Elephas maximus indicus: one gene and its partners. The protein of the gene in region 1 purifies or fractionates together with the protein of each later gene. This does not show direct contact. Links are inferred from orthologs where the notes say so. Each region holds a gene or a part of one and is shown in the gene's direction. Other genes may lie near its edges.

Region 1 (3,743 bases):
CCTGTTCCTGGGCACATGTTTGTAGCATCTGCAAACTCCATCGTGCTCTCTGGGGAGACTGGAGTGAGAAAGGCAGACTACATCCCAGGCTATTACAGAAAAGGGGGCTCCGGGACCATACTCTCAGAACCCCTGCTTCAGGCAGCTTTAAGCAAATCCCAGCAAACTGATCGGTTTGTTCATCAGCAGGCTCCTGCTCCCAGGTGTTCCCTCGTTGCCTTTGCTTTTATGTCAAATTAACTCAAAGTAACACGGAGCTGACATTTTCCCAGCTCCAGTGTCACAAGACTCCTACCTTTTTAACTTTGTGACTTTCTATCTTTGGCCTCGGCATCTTGCAGCACTGAATCAGGAATCTTAGAGGCCTGATCAGGGCTCCCAGGTCATTGCTCTGTGTACACAGGGGGCATCCTGGATGGACGGTCGGCCTGCTGGCCTGAGCGCCAACAGCCTGTGGACCAGGGCCCTGCCCCTCCCACACCTGCGGGACGTGGGCGCAGCCGAGGCCCCTGACCCTCCGAACACCTGCGGGGCGTGGGCCCAGCCGAGGCTCCTGCCCGTCGAAACACCTGCAGGGCGTGGGTGCAGCCGAAGCCCTGCACGGTGGTACGATGCCTAGCACTGATGCGGTCGGCCGTGTTTAGGGCCCTGGTCGCGACCCCGCGCCGAACCCTGCCTGCCCCTTAAGTGCGCCCGTGCCCCGCGGGCCAGTGGCACGCAGGGGTCGCGGCGTCGCCAGAGGTGACGCTGTTGGCTGGGACACGGGCCCCCGCAGCCCGGCCTGCGGTTCCCGGCGCCGCCGCCAGGGGCCGCCGCCGCCCCCTATGACACAGCAACAATAGCGGCCTCTCTGGCCCCCGCCGCCCGCTTCCTGCGCGCCGCGGCAGCCTGCACGGGGCGGGGCCGAGCGATGGGCGGCCACTCGGGCCAGTCGCTCGCGGCGAGGGGCGGGCCGCGAGCCCGCGCAGGACCAATCGGCAGGCGGCGCAGCGGGTCAGGCGGGGCGAGTGCGGGCTTCCGGCGGGGCCCGGCCGCCGCGGAGGAGGAAGAGCGAGCTCGGGCATCGCTTCTCGGCCTAGCGTCGGCGCAGCCAGGTGCCCCCGGGGGCGGCCGGGGGGCGGGGTGCTGCCCGTGGTGTGGGGACCGGCTCGGAGGGGCAGGGACCGGCCCAGAGGGGCGGGGGCGGCGCAGCTTGCGACCCCGCGGGAGGGACCTTAGGCCTGAGAGGGTCCTGCGGGGGAGGGGGAGCCGGGTCGGGGGTCCGTGGAGCAGGGGTCCTGGGGGTGAGGGAAGGGGTGCGAGGGGAGGGGGTCCTGGGGGTGAGGGAAGGGGTGCGAGGGAGGAGGATGTGAGGGGAGGAGATCCTGTGGGTGCGAGCAGAGGTGCGAGGGAGGAGGATGTGAGGGGAGGGGGTCCTGGGGGTGAGGGCAGGGGTGCGAGGGAGGAGGGTGTGAGGGGAAGGGGTCCTTGGCTGGGGCCTCTGGGGGCGGTGGTCCAGGGATGGGGGGCGGGGGGGCGAGGGAGAAGTGTGTGTGGAGGGGGTCCTTAGGCTAGGAGCCCTCGGGTGGGGGTTCTGGGGGGAGGGGGGTCCTGGCTGCTGCCTTTTCTGCTCCTCCGAGCCCAGCACTTCCTTAGGCCCCAGGGTGGGGTTTCCCAGGGATCCCCACCACCCCCAGCCCTCATTCGCTAAGTTCAGAAGCCACAGGCTTTTGGTGAAATCGGGGTTCCTCTTTACCCAAGCGCAGAGGTGGGACAACCATGAGCTGCTGCCTTCAATTCTGCCTTTGTGAGAAGATCTGGGGCACCACTCCATGAAATAGCCAAGTTAGGGGCTGCGTGTTCTCCAGCCCAGTGGCCAGCTTCTCTTTTTTAAGGGTCATACTTGCAGCGTTGCTGTGTTAAAGCAGAAAGGCGAGGTCACTGTGCCCATGGCCTGTCCTGGGGCTGAGGGGTTAGTATGAGGCCACCTCAGCTCAAGTGTTTTGAGTTCTATGGCTCTCAGAACGAAAAACCAACAAGAGTTTGTAAGAGAGTGCCGCCCACAGGGCCCATGCACTCTGGGGTGACGGGTGTCCGTGCACTTCGGTTTTGCTCTTTGGGAAACATGAAAAGAAGCTCAGCATTGATCCTGGGAGGGCGGGTGGAGCTGGAGTGGGACCAACCCTGGTGTGGGGGCACGGCGCACCCTGGGGGCTTTTGTCCCCATCCGTGCAAGCAGCAATGTTTGCAGAGGAAATGGAGAGTTTTGGCAGTACACCACGTTGGCACACGTGGGGTCTAAGTGCCACCTCTCCTTTTTCAGGATGACGACTTCAGGCGCTCTCTTTCCAAGCCTGGTGCCAGGCTCCCGCGGCTCCTCCAACAAGTATTTGGTGGAGTTTCGGGCAGGAAAAATGTCCCTGAAAGGAACGACGGTCACCCCGGACAAGCGGAAGGGGTTGGTGTACATTCAGCAGACCGACGACTCCCTCATTCACTTCTGCTGGAAGGACAGGACGTCGGGCAGCGTGGAGGACGTGAGTGTCCGCCACCTGGACGCCACGGCTGCCGGCGGGTGGCTGGGGTGGTCTTTGGGGCTTGGTTTTTGCATGGGGTTGCTGGGTTGGTGTCCGCCATCAGCCGTTTCACTTGCTTCTGGAGCGTCCCAGTCTTGCAGGGTCGTAGGTCATCACTGCTTGTACTTTAGCCATCAGGTGTGAAGTGGAGGTCTTTCCTCTGTTAGATTCTCGAGGAAGCTTTGTCTGCTAGTGCTTGTCACTCTGCGTTCTTTGCTGTCCGCGATGGATTGATCTTTGTTACGTCTGAGAGTGGATCAGAGCTGACCTTCTAACTGTCTACAAAACTAAATGGTGGTGATACTGAAAATATTTGAAAATCACCATTTATTTTATAAAAAACAACAAGCTTTTGAAAGGTGATGACATGGGGCAGAACTGTAAAGTACCCTTTGAACCCACCTGAGCCCCTGCTGTGAGTGCCTGCCCTGCCCCCCAGCCCTCACCTGAGGGTCCGCCCTCACAGTGGGCGTCGGAGGCTGGCTCCTCTTCCCTGTGGAGACCCCGTCCCTGTGGAGACTCCGATAGTGAGGGGCTCTGGCAACTGATCTGTCTCACACTCTGACACACAGGCTCTGCCGTGTCTTCTCGAGCAGTCGGGAGCCTTGAAGGTTTGCTTGTGTTAAGCTTGCTCTTGCCTCCCCTCGTGTTCCTCTGTAGGACTTGATTATCTTCCCCGACGACTGTGAATTTAAGCGGGTGCCTCAGTGCCCCAGTGGGAGGGTCTACGTGCTCAAGTTTAAGGCAGGATCCAAGCGGCTCTTCTTCTGGATGCAGGTAGGTGGGAGGCCCTGCTTCCTGTACTGCCTGTTCTCAGCATCATGAGGTAGATTGGGAATTTGGCTCAAGGGTAACCTTGTATAGGCTGTTCCTGTGCGCCATCTTCCTGTTAAAAGTCTAGAAGCGGACTTGCTTGTTGTATATGCGTGTTTGTGGTTTTGACACAGACCCCCACGGCCCCCCCGGAGGCTGACCTCCCCCTCCCCCCAGGCACTAGAGCAAGGCATCAGCTGTTCCTGGGAAGGACTAGGAAGGAAGTGCTTCCCACCCTGTGGACCCCGTGGTTTCTGTCACGACTGCTCAGCTTTGCTGCAGCAGCTTCAAAGCTGCCAAGGCCAGCTCGTGAATGAGTGGGCATGGCTGTGTGTCGATAAAATGTTATTTACAAAAACAGGTGGAGGCTGTGGT
Region 2 (3,743 bases), on another chromosome or scaffold:
TTCTCTTTGAGGAGGCGGCCAACTGAATGACAACACGAACCAGCAGGAGGGAGTTTCAGCAAAGGGCAGCAAGAGCAAAGACCTTGCAGTTAGAAATGAACAAGACACTCTTGAAAAGCAAATGGCAAGTGCAGGTATTTGCAAGTGTAATGAATGAGGGGAAAAGCAGCAGAAAGTGAAGTTGGACGGGACACAGGTTGCAGCTGCCACGCAGGGGCTTAGAATGGAGCCTTTTGGATTTCATTCTAAGGTCAACAGGAGATTGTGAAATGGTTTTAAGCAAGTGAGGGACATGATACCGCTGCTGTGTGGAGAGTGGGTTACAAAGGAATGCAGATATAACACTGGTCCGGGTGAGAACTGATGAAAGCTTACATCCGGATGGCGCCAGAGTCTAAGGGTCGCCGCATGGTCGAGGGAGCCAAGGGTCCACGTTGGCCGGGATAAAAGCAGACCAGGTCTTGCTTCAACTCAGAAAAGATGTGGAAGGGGCCCAAGTAAGGCTTATCACTGTCCCAGGTCGAACAGGGGATGAAAAGAGCCGGCGGGGGTCTCAGGAGCCAGGGGTCAGGGAAATCAGAAGCTGGAAGGCGGGAATGAGGAGGCGAGGAGGCAGGAGGCAAGAGGCGGGGCGTCAAGAGGGAGGAGGTAGAGAGACGAGCTGTGCGGAAGCGAGGATATGGTGAAGGCGGGGCGAGGAGGCGGGAAGTAGAGCGCCGGGCGGCGGGGAGGGTGGAAGCTAGACAGCGGGGAGTCGAAAGAAAGAAGGGGAGGGAGTAGGCCCGGGAGGAGGGGAGGTGGGAGGGGCGGGGCGGGGACGAGAGGAGGAGGGCCGGTGCAGGGAGGCGGGGCCGGGGGCGGGAAGGCGGGGCCTGGGGACTGGAAGGCGGGCCGGGCAAAGGAGGGTTGTGGAGGCTTCTCTCCGGCTGTAATGGGAGCAGCGCCTCCGCTGCCTTCCTCTCCTCCCCCGCCCCTGTCCTCTGTGGTCGGCCCCGCCTCCTTCAGTACCTCCACTACCCAGGAAGGCGGTGCGGGCTGAGAGCTGCTTTCACTTTCCCTTCCCCGTGCCCACTCCTCGCTCCACGCGCGGCGTAAGGCCCCCTCCCCAGCCATGACCACACTCAGGGTCCAGCCTGAAGCCCAAGCCAAGGTGAGCGCAGCAGGTTAAAGGAAGGGCCCTTTAGGGAGGCGTGGCTCAAAGAGGCTGAGGGCAACCCTAACTAGCCTCCAGCCCCCGACACGAGTGAAGGTCAGTCGACCGAGGCCACGCACCCGGAGCACCTGAGCCCACGGGAGATCCTCCAGGCCTGCCTGCGGGAAGAGACGAGGCGACCGTGGTTCAGTGGGGTGAGGTGAAGCGGAGAGCTGGCGTAGAGGGGAAATCCGCTGGCCCGGGGCCGGGGCCACACACAGATGGGGTGCGGGACCTGCCCCTGCTACCTCGTGGCCTTCTCATCAGGTCCCCAAGTCCCATCCCACAGGGTGCTCATTCCTGCCCCAGTCGCAGGGGGCTCTCATACATGTCCTCTTCAGGGTGACCCAGGCAACCCGAGGGATCTGTTCCTACATGAACCACCCACTCTTCTCTGCCAGGAATGCTCTCACCCCCCTAATTGAGCCCCACGGGAATCCACTCCTCCACCACCCGGGTCCACCCCCACCCTTCCCCAGCTCCAGGCCCGATGCAATCCTAAAGGAACTGCTCTCAAATGAATTGGCCTTATAGCCAGGTTTCTGAAAGGTTGCCTATGCCCCACAGGTGAATGTGTTCCGGGAAGACCTGTGTGCCAAGGTAAGACCTGCCCCATCTGTACCCCCACTGGTCCCCAACTCCCACCGCTCAGCCCTCCCTCTCTTGCTGGGCAGCAGTGGCTCTGCATCACTGGCCAGGTGGGCCTTTGATTCTGACCTCTGCCTTCCCCCACTCCCACCTCACACACAGACAGAGAACCTGCTTGGGAGCTATTTCCCCAAGAAGATTTCTGAGTTGGATGCATTTCTAAAGGTACTGGGGCTGGGCAAGGGGCTAGAGAATAGGGGCCAAGGGGAGAGTGGGGGGGGGTCAGAAAGAGGAAGTGAGGACACCCTTGCCTACAGCCCTCTTCTCACCCTGCACCAGGAGCCAGCTCTCAATGAAGCCAACCTGAGCAATCTGAAGGCTCCATTGGACATACCAGTGCCTGACCCAGTCAAGGAGAAAGAGAAGGAGGAGCGGAAGAAACAGCAGGAGGCAAGCTGGGGAGAGGGACCTGATCATGGGGAAAATCAACCTTAGGCCTGACTCTCATGAGCCCCTCTCTCGCTGCAGAAGGAAGACAAGGATGAAAAGAAAAAAGGGGAAGATGAAGACAAAGGTACTTGAAACAACGATGGTGGGAAGGGACTTGAGTCCCACTCCCCAAGAGCTTCTTGCTAAGGATCCCTCCCCTGTCCCCCTCACACAGGCCCAGATATGTTACTGACCCATTGCCTACTCCCCAGGTCCTCCCTGTGGCCCAGTGAGCTGCAATGAGAAGATCGTGGCCCTCTTGCAGCGCCTGAAGCCAGAGATCAAAGACGTCATTGAGCAGCTCAACCTGGTGAGCCCTCCCACTCCCACCTCAGGCTTTAGGTTGAACCCTTTGTCCTCCTTGGTTCTTCCCAGTTAGGGCATGACACTACTAGGTCTTAGCAGGAACAGCATAGCAAGTGAAGCCAGAAGTCCAGGCCCTGGGGCTCAGGATGAACCTATCACACCTCCACCCACCTTGTGGGAATTGGGTGGGGGACTGCTGTGACTTAGATGCCATTCCCTTGTCCCAGGTCACCACCTGGTTGCAGCTGCAGATACCACGGATTGAGGATGGGAACAACTTTGGAGTGGCTGTCCAGGTGAGCATGCTGCCCCATGTCCCTGCCTTTCCTTCCCCTCCAGTCTATATTTCCTTCTACTTTATCCTCTTGCTTGCTTTCTCCAGGAAAAGGTGTTTGAGCTGATGACCACCCTTCACACCAAGCTGGAAGGCTTCCACACCCAAATCTCCAAGTAAGTGATCACCCACCCACACCCACACGCATACTCTGCTTTGGATTGGGGACAGAGGCCAGGGCTCATGCCACCTTCTCCCACTCTACACACTTCTTCCACTTCCCACAGGTATTTCTCTGAGCGGGGTGATGCAGTAACCAAAGCAGCCAAGCAACCCCATGTGGTAGGTAGCACAGGTCGGGATATACGGGGGGATGGACACACTTGGATGAAGTCAGGCTGACCCCAAGTCTCCCTCAGGGTGATTATCGGCAGCTGGTGCATGAGCTGGATGAGGCGGAGTACCGGGACATCCGTCTGAGGATCATGGAGATCCGCAATGCTTACGTGAGGAGGCGAGGGCAGCGCAGGGCAGGGGTGGGCAGAGGCAGCTTTCCCAGGCCACCCGCTCCCAGACCCTGCAGGCTGGGGGTAAAGGGTGACAAAGCGTGGCCTCTTCACAAGGCTGGAAATGGGGCACAGAGCGACTGGCACCTACAGCTGACCCCCCACTCCTCCCTGGCCCTGTAGGCAGTGCTATATGACATCATCCTGAAGAACTTCGAAAAACTCAAGAAGCCCAGGGGAGAAACAAAGGGGATGATTTATTGAGGGCCTCTGCTCTCATTTTTGTGATGAGTGCAACAGAGACCCTCCTGCCTTTTATCGGGGACTCCAGACTTTCCCCCCATTTTTCTCCTGTTGAGGTTTCTCTCTCACCTTGCCATCTAGGCAC
Region 3 (3,743 bases), on another chromosome or scaffold:
AAACATCTTTCTGGTATTCTCTGCTTTCAGCCAAGATCCATCTGACATTAGTTATGACATCCTTCATTCCATGACCTTTTCTGAATCTGGCTTGAATTTCTGGAAGTTCCCTGTCAACCATTTTTGAATTATCTTCAGCATAATTTTACTTGCATGTGATATTAATGATAAACCAAAACATGTTGCCATCAAGTGGATTATGATCCTACAAGGTAGAGTAGAACTGCCCCATAGGGTATCCATGGTTGTAATCTCTACTGAAGCTGACTGCCACGTCTTTCCTCCAAGGAGCAGCTGGTGGGTTCCAACTGCTGACCTTTCGGTTAGTAGCCCAGCGCTTTAATCATGGCGCCACCAGGGCTTCTGATATTAATCATATTGTTTGATGATTTCCGCATTCCGTTGGATCACTTCTCTTCGGAATGGAAATGTATATGGATTTCTTCCAGCCAGAAAAATGCGCGCATCTGTGTTGAAGTACAGCCAGCGTGCTCCTCTAGAAGGGAGAAGGGTGAGACTTCATCTCATTACGCTTTTTGGATAGTGGTCAGGAGGATCAGTCCTAGAGAAGGACATCATGCTTGGTAAGGTAGAAGGCCAGCTAAAAAGACCCTTAATGAGATGGACTGACACAGTGGCTGCAAAAATGGGCTCAAAGCTAACAACGATCATGAGGATGGTGCATGACCGGGCTCTTTCTTTCTGTTGTACATAGGGTCGCTATAAGTCCGAACCGACTTGATTTGCACCTAACAACAACCAAGAGTGTACTCGAGTTTCTGTCGTTCCACGTGTTTGCTAGTTTTTTTGGTATGGTCAGACTTTTTAAATTTTGTCCACCTGGAGTGAATTCGAGCGGTTTCTTAAGAAAACCCTGACACCTATGTGGGCTTTCTGTAACACCTGGCGCCACTACCAAAAAGCCAGGGGCGCTGGCTTCCGGGAGCAACGAAGAGCGTGGGGCAGAGAGGCCCGCCGCGCGCCGGAGACCGGAAGCGGATCCGTTTCCTGTCGGCAGCGAGTGCAGAGCAGAGCGGCCCGCTTCCGGTCGGAGCCGCCATATTGCTGTGAGACAGCAGTCGCAGGCGCTGCGCGATGTTGTCCTCCGCTGCTGTGTTTCCTGCGCTCGGCCGCGACCTGGGAATGGAGACTTTCGGCGCCGCGGGGCCCTTGCAGCTGCGCTTTTCGCCCTACGCCTTCAACGGAGGGTAACGCCCTGGGAGCGCGCGCTCCCTTCCGCCGTCGTTTCCCTCGCTACCGCAGCGCCTCTGGGGTCGCGGGTGTGAGGGCGCCAACTCCCTGCGTGCCCTTCCCGCCGCTGCTGGGATTCGCTCCGGCTTGGGCGCACGGCCTGGGTTTCCCTGACGGCCCGGCCTCCGCACGCGGTCCCGCCTCACTTCCCTGACGGCCCGGCGTCTGCACGCAAGGCCGCCTCACTTCCCTGACGGCCCGGCCTCCACACGCAGTGCCGCTTCACTTCCCTGACGGCCCGGCCTGCGCACTCAAGGCCGCCTCGCTTCCCTAACGGCCCGGTCCGCACGCAAGGCCGCCTCACTTCCCTGACGGCCCGGCCTCCGCACGCAGGGCCGCCTCACTTCCCTGACGGCCCGGCTTCCACACGCAGGGCCGCCTCATTTCCCTGACGGCCCGTCCTCCACACGCAGGGCCGCCTCATTTCCCTGACGGCCCGGCCTCCACAGGCAAGGCCGCCTCACTTCCCTGACGGCCCGGCCTCCGCACGCAGTGCCGCTTCACTTCCCTGACGGCCCGGCCTGCGCACTCAAGGCCGCCTCGCTTCCCTAACGGCCCGGTCCGCACGCAAGGCCGCCTCACTTCCCTGACGGCCCGGCCTCCGCACGCAGGGCCGCCTCACTTCCCTGACGGCCCGGCTTCCACACGCAGGGCCGCCTCATTTCCCTGACGGCCCGTCCTCCACACGCAGGGCCGCCTCATTTCCCTGACGGCCCGGCCTCCACAGGCAAGGCCGCCTCACTTCCCTGACGGCCCGGCCTCCGCACGCAGTCCCGCTTCACTTCCCTGACGGCCCGGCTTCCACACGCAGGGCCGCCTCATTTCCCTGACGGCCCGGCCTCCACACGCAAGGCCGCCTCACTTCCCTGACGGCGCGGCCTCCACACGCAGGGCCGCCTCACTTCCCTGACGGCCCGGACTCCACAGGCAAGGCCGCCTCACTTCCCTGACGGCCCGGACTCCGCACGCAGTCCCGCTTCACTTCCCTGACGGCCCGGCCTCCACACGCAAGGCCGCCTCATTTCCCTGACGGCCCGGCCTCCACACTCAAGGCCGCCTCACTTCCCTGACGGCCCGGCCTCCACACGCAGGGCCGCCTCACTTCCCTGACGGCCCGGCCTCCACACTCAAGGCCGCCTCACTTCCCTGACGGCCCGGCCTCCACACGCAAGGCCGCCTCACTTCCCTGACGGCTCGGCCTCTGCACGCAGTCCCGCTTCACTTCCCTGACGGCCCGGCTTCCACACGCAAGGCCGCCTCATTCCCTGACGGCCCGGCCTCCACAGGCAAGGCCACCTCATTTCCCTGGCGACCCGGCCTCCGCACGCAGGGACGCTTTCACGCACAGCCTGTTCCGCAGCGAGAGTCGGGAGGGTAGAGGTTGACATCCATCCTCCGGCCTGGGAATGCCTTCGGAATGCGCCTTAGGGCCTCGCGGGTCTGAGCGGTTCACCGGCTAGAGGCCGAGGGGACAGGCTTGTCGGAAACAGCGCAGTGGTCGGCGGCCCCGGTGGCTGGGCGCCCAGTAATGGCTGTAGATGCAACACTTCCCAAAAAGTGGCTTCGTCATTTTCTGTTACTTTAAATTGAAGCTGGGATTGATCAGAATTACTTTTGTAAATTAGTGTGTCTTTCTCTTTGCTTTTAAATGTTTATCTTAAATAGAAAAAAGCTCAGAAGAGGGACTTTTTAATGGGATATATTCAAGGTGGGTTTTTTTTTTTTTTAAACTAGCGCCTTTTTAGTAACACTTTTGCCTGATACTACACTGAAAGAATCAGGATTGTGGAGCTATAAATTGAAGCAGTGGTTATGGTTTACCAACCAAATTTTGTACAAACACAATTTGAACAAACAAATAATTCTTTGAGAAAACCAAAAGTAGAAATCAGCTCCATATGAATTTCAAATATTGTTGCGAAATTTTTGAGTGTGCTGGCAAGAGTGAAAGACTATGATTTTTGCCCTGGTTCTGCCCGTACATGGCACCTTTCTCAGCTTCTTGAACCCACGTTTCCTTGTCTGCCTTAGCCACTTCATGCATTTCTGGGAGAATTAAATGAGAAGCATTTGGTAAGTTGGCAAGCAGTTCTTGTTTAATCCTTATAGTAACCAAGCGATGAATGATATTAGCCCCGTTTTTACAAACAAACCCAGGGCTCTTAGAAGTCATGAAGCTGGAGTGAGATTGAGGCAGGGCTTGAATTCATCTCTGTCACAGCTGAGTTTGTATGTTCTTGCACTTCTTAACGCTTCCTGTTGTGATTGTTAAATTGTAAGGCAGCCTTTAGACCCATTTCATAGAACAGTTATAAATTCTGTATGATAGGGTTTTCAAGGTGGTCAGTATTCAGAACTCATTTCTCACTTTCTAAACTCTTGTAACCCAGCTTAAGTCATTACTGCTCTAAAAGTTAATTTCTTACAATTTTCTGATTATTATTTTTTTCTAAATCTTTGTTCTTTATTGTCTATTGCTGCTGACTCTCAAA

What was found.
Region 2: the proteins of ADRM1 (region 1) and PSME1 purify together in Homo sapiens (affinity purification with western blotting; 3 studies listed by BioGRID, with this or other methods). This does not show direct contact. The link is inferred for Elephas maximus indicus from reciprocal best matches to the Homo sapiens genes ADRM1 and PSME1.
Region 3: the proteins of ADRM1 (region 1) and PSMB1 fractionate together in Homo sapiens (co-fractionation; 3 studies listed by BioGRID, with this or other methods). This does not show direct contact. The link is inferred for Elephas maximus indicus from reciprocal best matches to the Homo sapiens genes ADRM1 and PSMB1.

Annotation. Positions count from the first base shown.
Region 1 is NC_064843.1:5,654,721-5,658,463, reverse strand, and holds the start of ADRM1 (proteasomal ubiquitin receptor ADRM1), read left to right. Parts: upstream 1-1,010; 5' UTR 1,011-1,094; intron 1,095-2,302; 5' UTR 2,303-2,303; coding exon 2,304-2,516; intron 2,517-3,215; coding exon 3,216-3,332; intron 3,333-3,743. UniProt on the Homo sapiens protein: Component of the 26S proteasome, a multiprotein complex involved in the ATP-dependent degradation of ubiquitinated proteins.
Region 2 is NC_064828.1:35,494,889-35,498,631, forward strand, and holds the start of PSME1 (proteasome activator complex subunit 1), read left to right. Parts: upstream 1-994; 5' UTR 995-1,111; coding exon 1,112-1,150; intron 1,151-1,759; coding exon 1,760-1,792; intron 1,793-1,942; coding exon 1,943-2,005; intron 2,006-2,119; coding exon 2,120-2,230; intron 2,231-2,308; coding exon 2,309-2,354; intron 2,355-2,481; coding exon 2,482-2,579; intron 2,580-2,802; coding exon 2,803-2,871; intron 2,872-2,957; coding exon 2,958-3,025; intron 3,026-3,136; coding exon 3,137-3,191; intron 3,192-3,268; coding exon 3,269-3,355; intron 3,356-3,538; coding exon 3,539-3,619; 3' UTR 3,620-3,743. UniProt on the Homo sapiens protein: Implicated in immunoproteasome assembly and required for efficient antigen processing. The PA28 activator complex enhances the generation of class I binding peptides by altering the cleavage pattern of the proteasome.
Region 3 is NC_064819.1:243,763,136-243,766,878, reverse strand, and holds the start of PSMB1 (proteasome subunit beta type-1), read left to right. Parts: upstream 1-1,037; 5' UTR 1,038-1,095; coding exon 1,096-1,208; intron 1,209-3,743. UniProt on the Homo sapiens protein: Non-catalytic component of the 20S core proteasome complex involved in the proteolytic degradation of most intracellular proteins. This complex plays numerous essential roles within the cell by associating with different regulatory particles.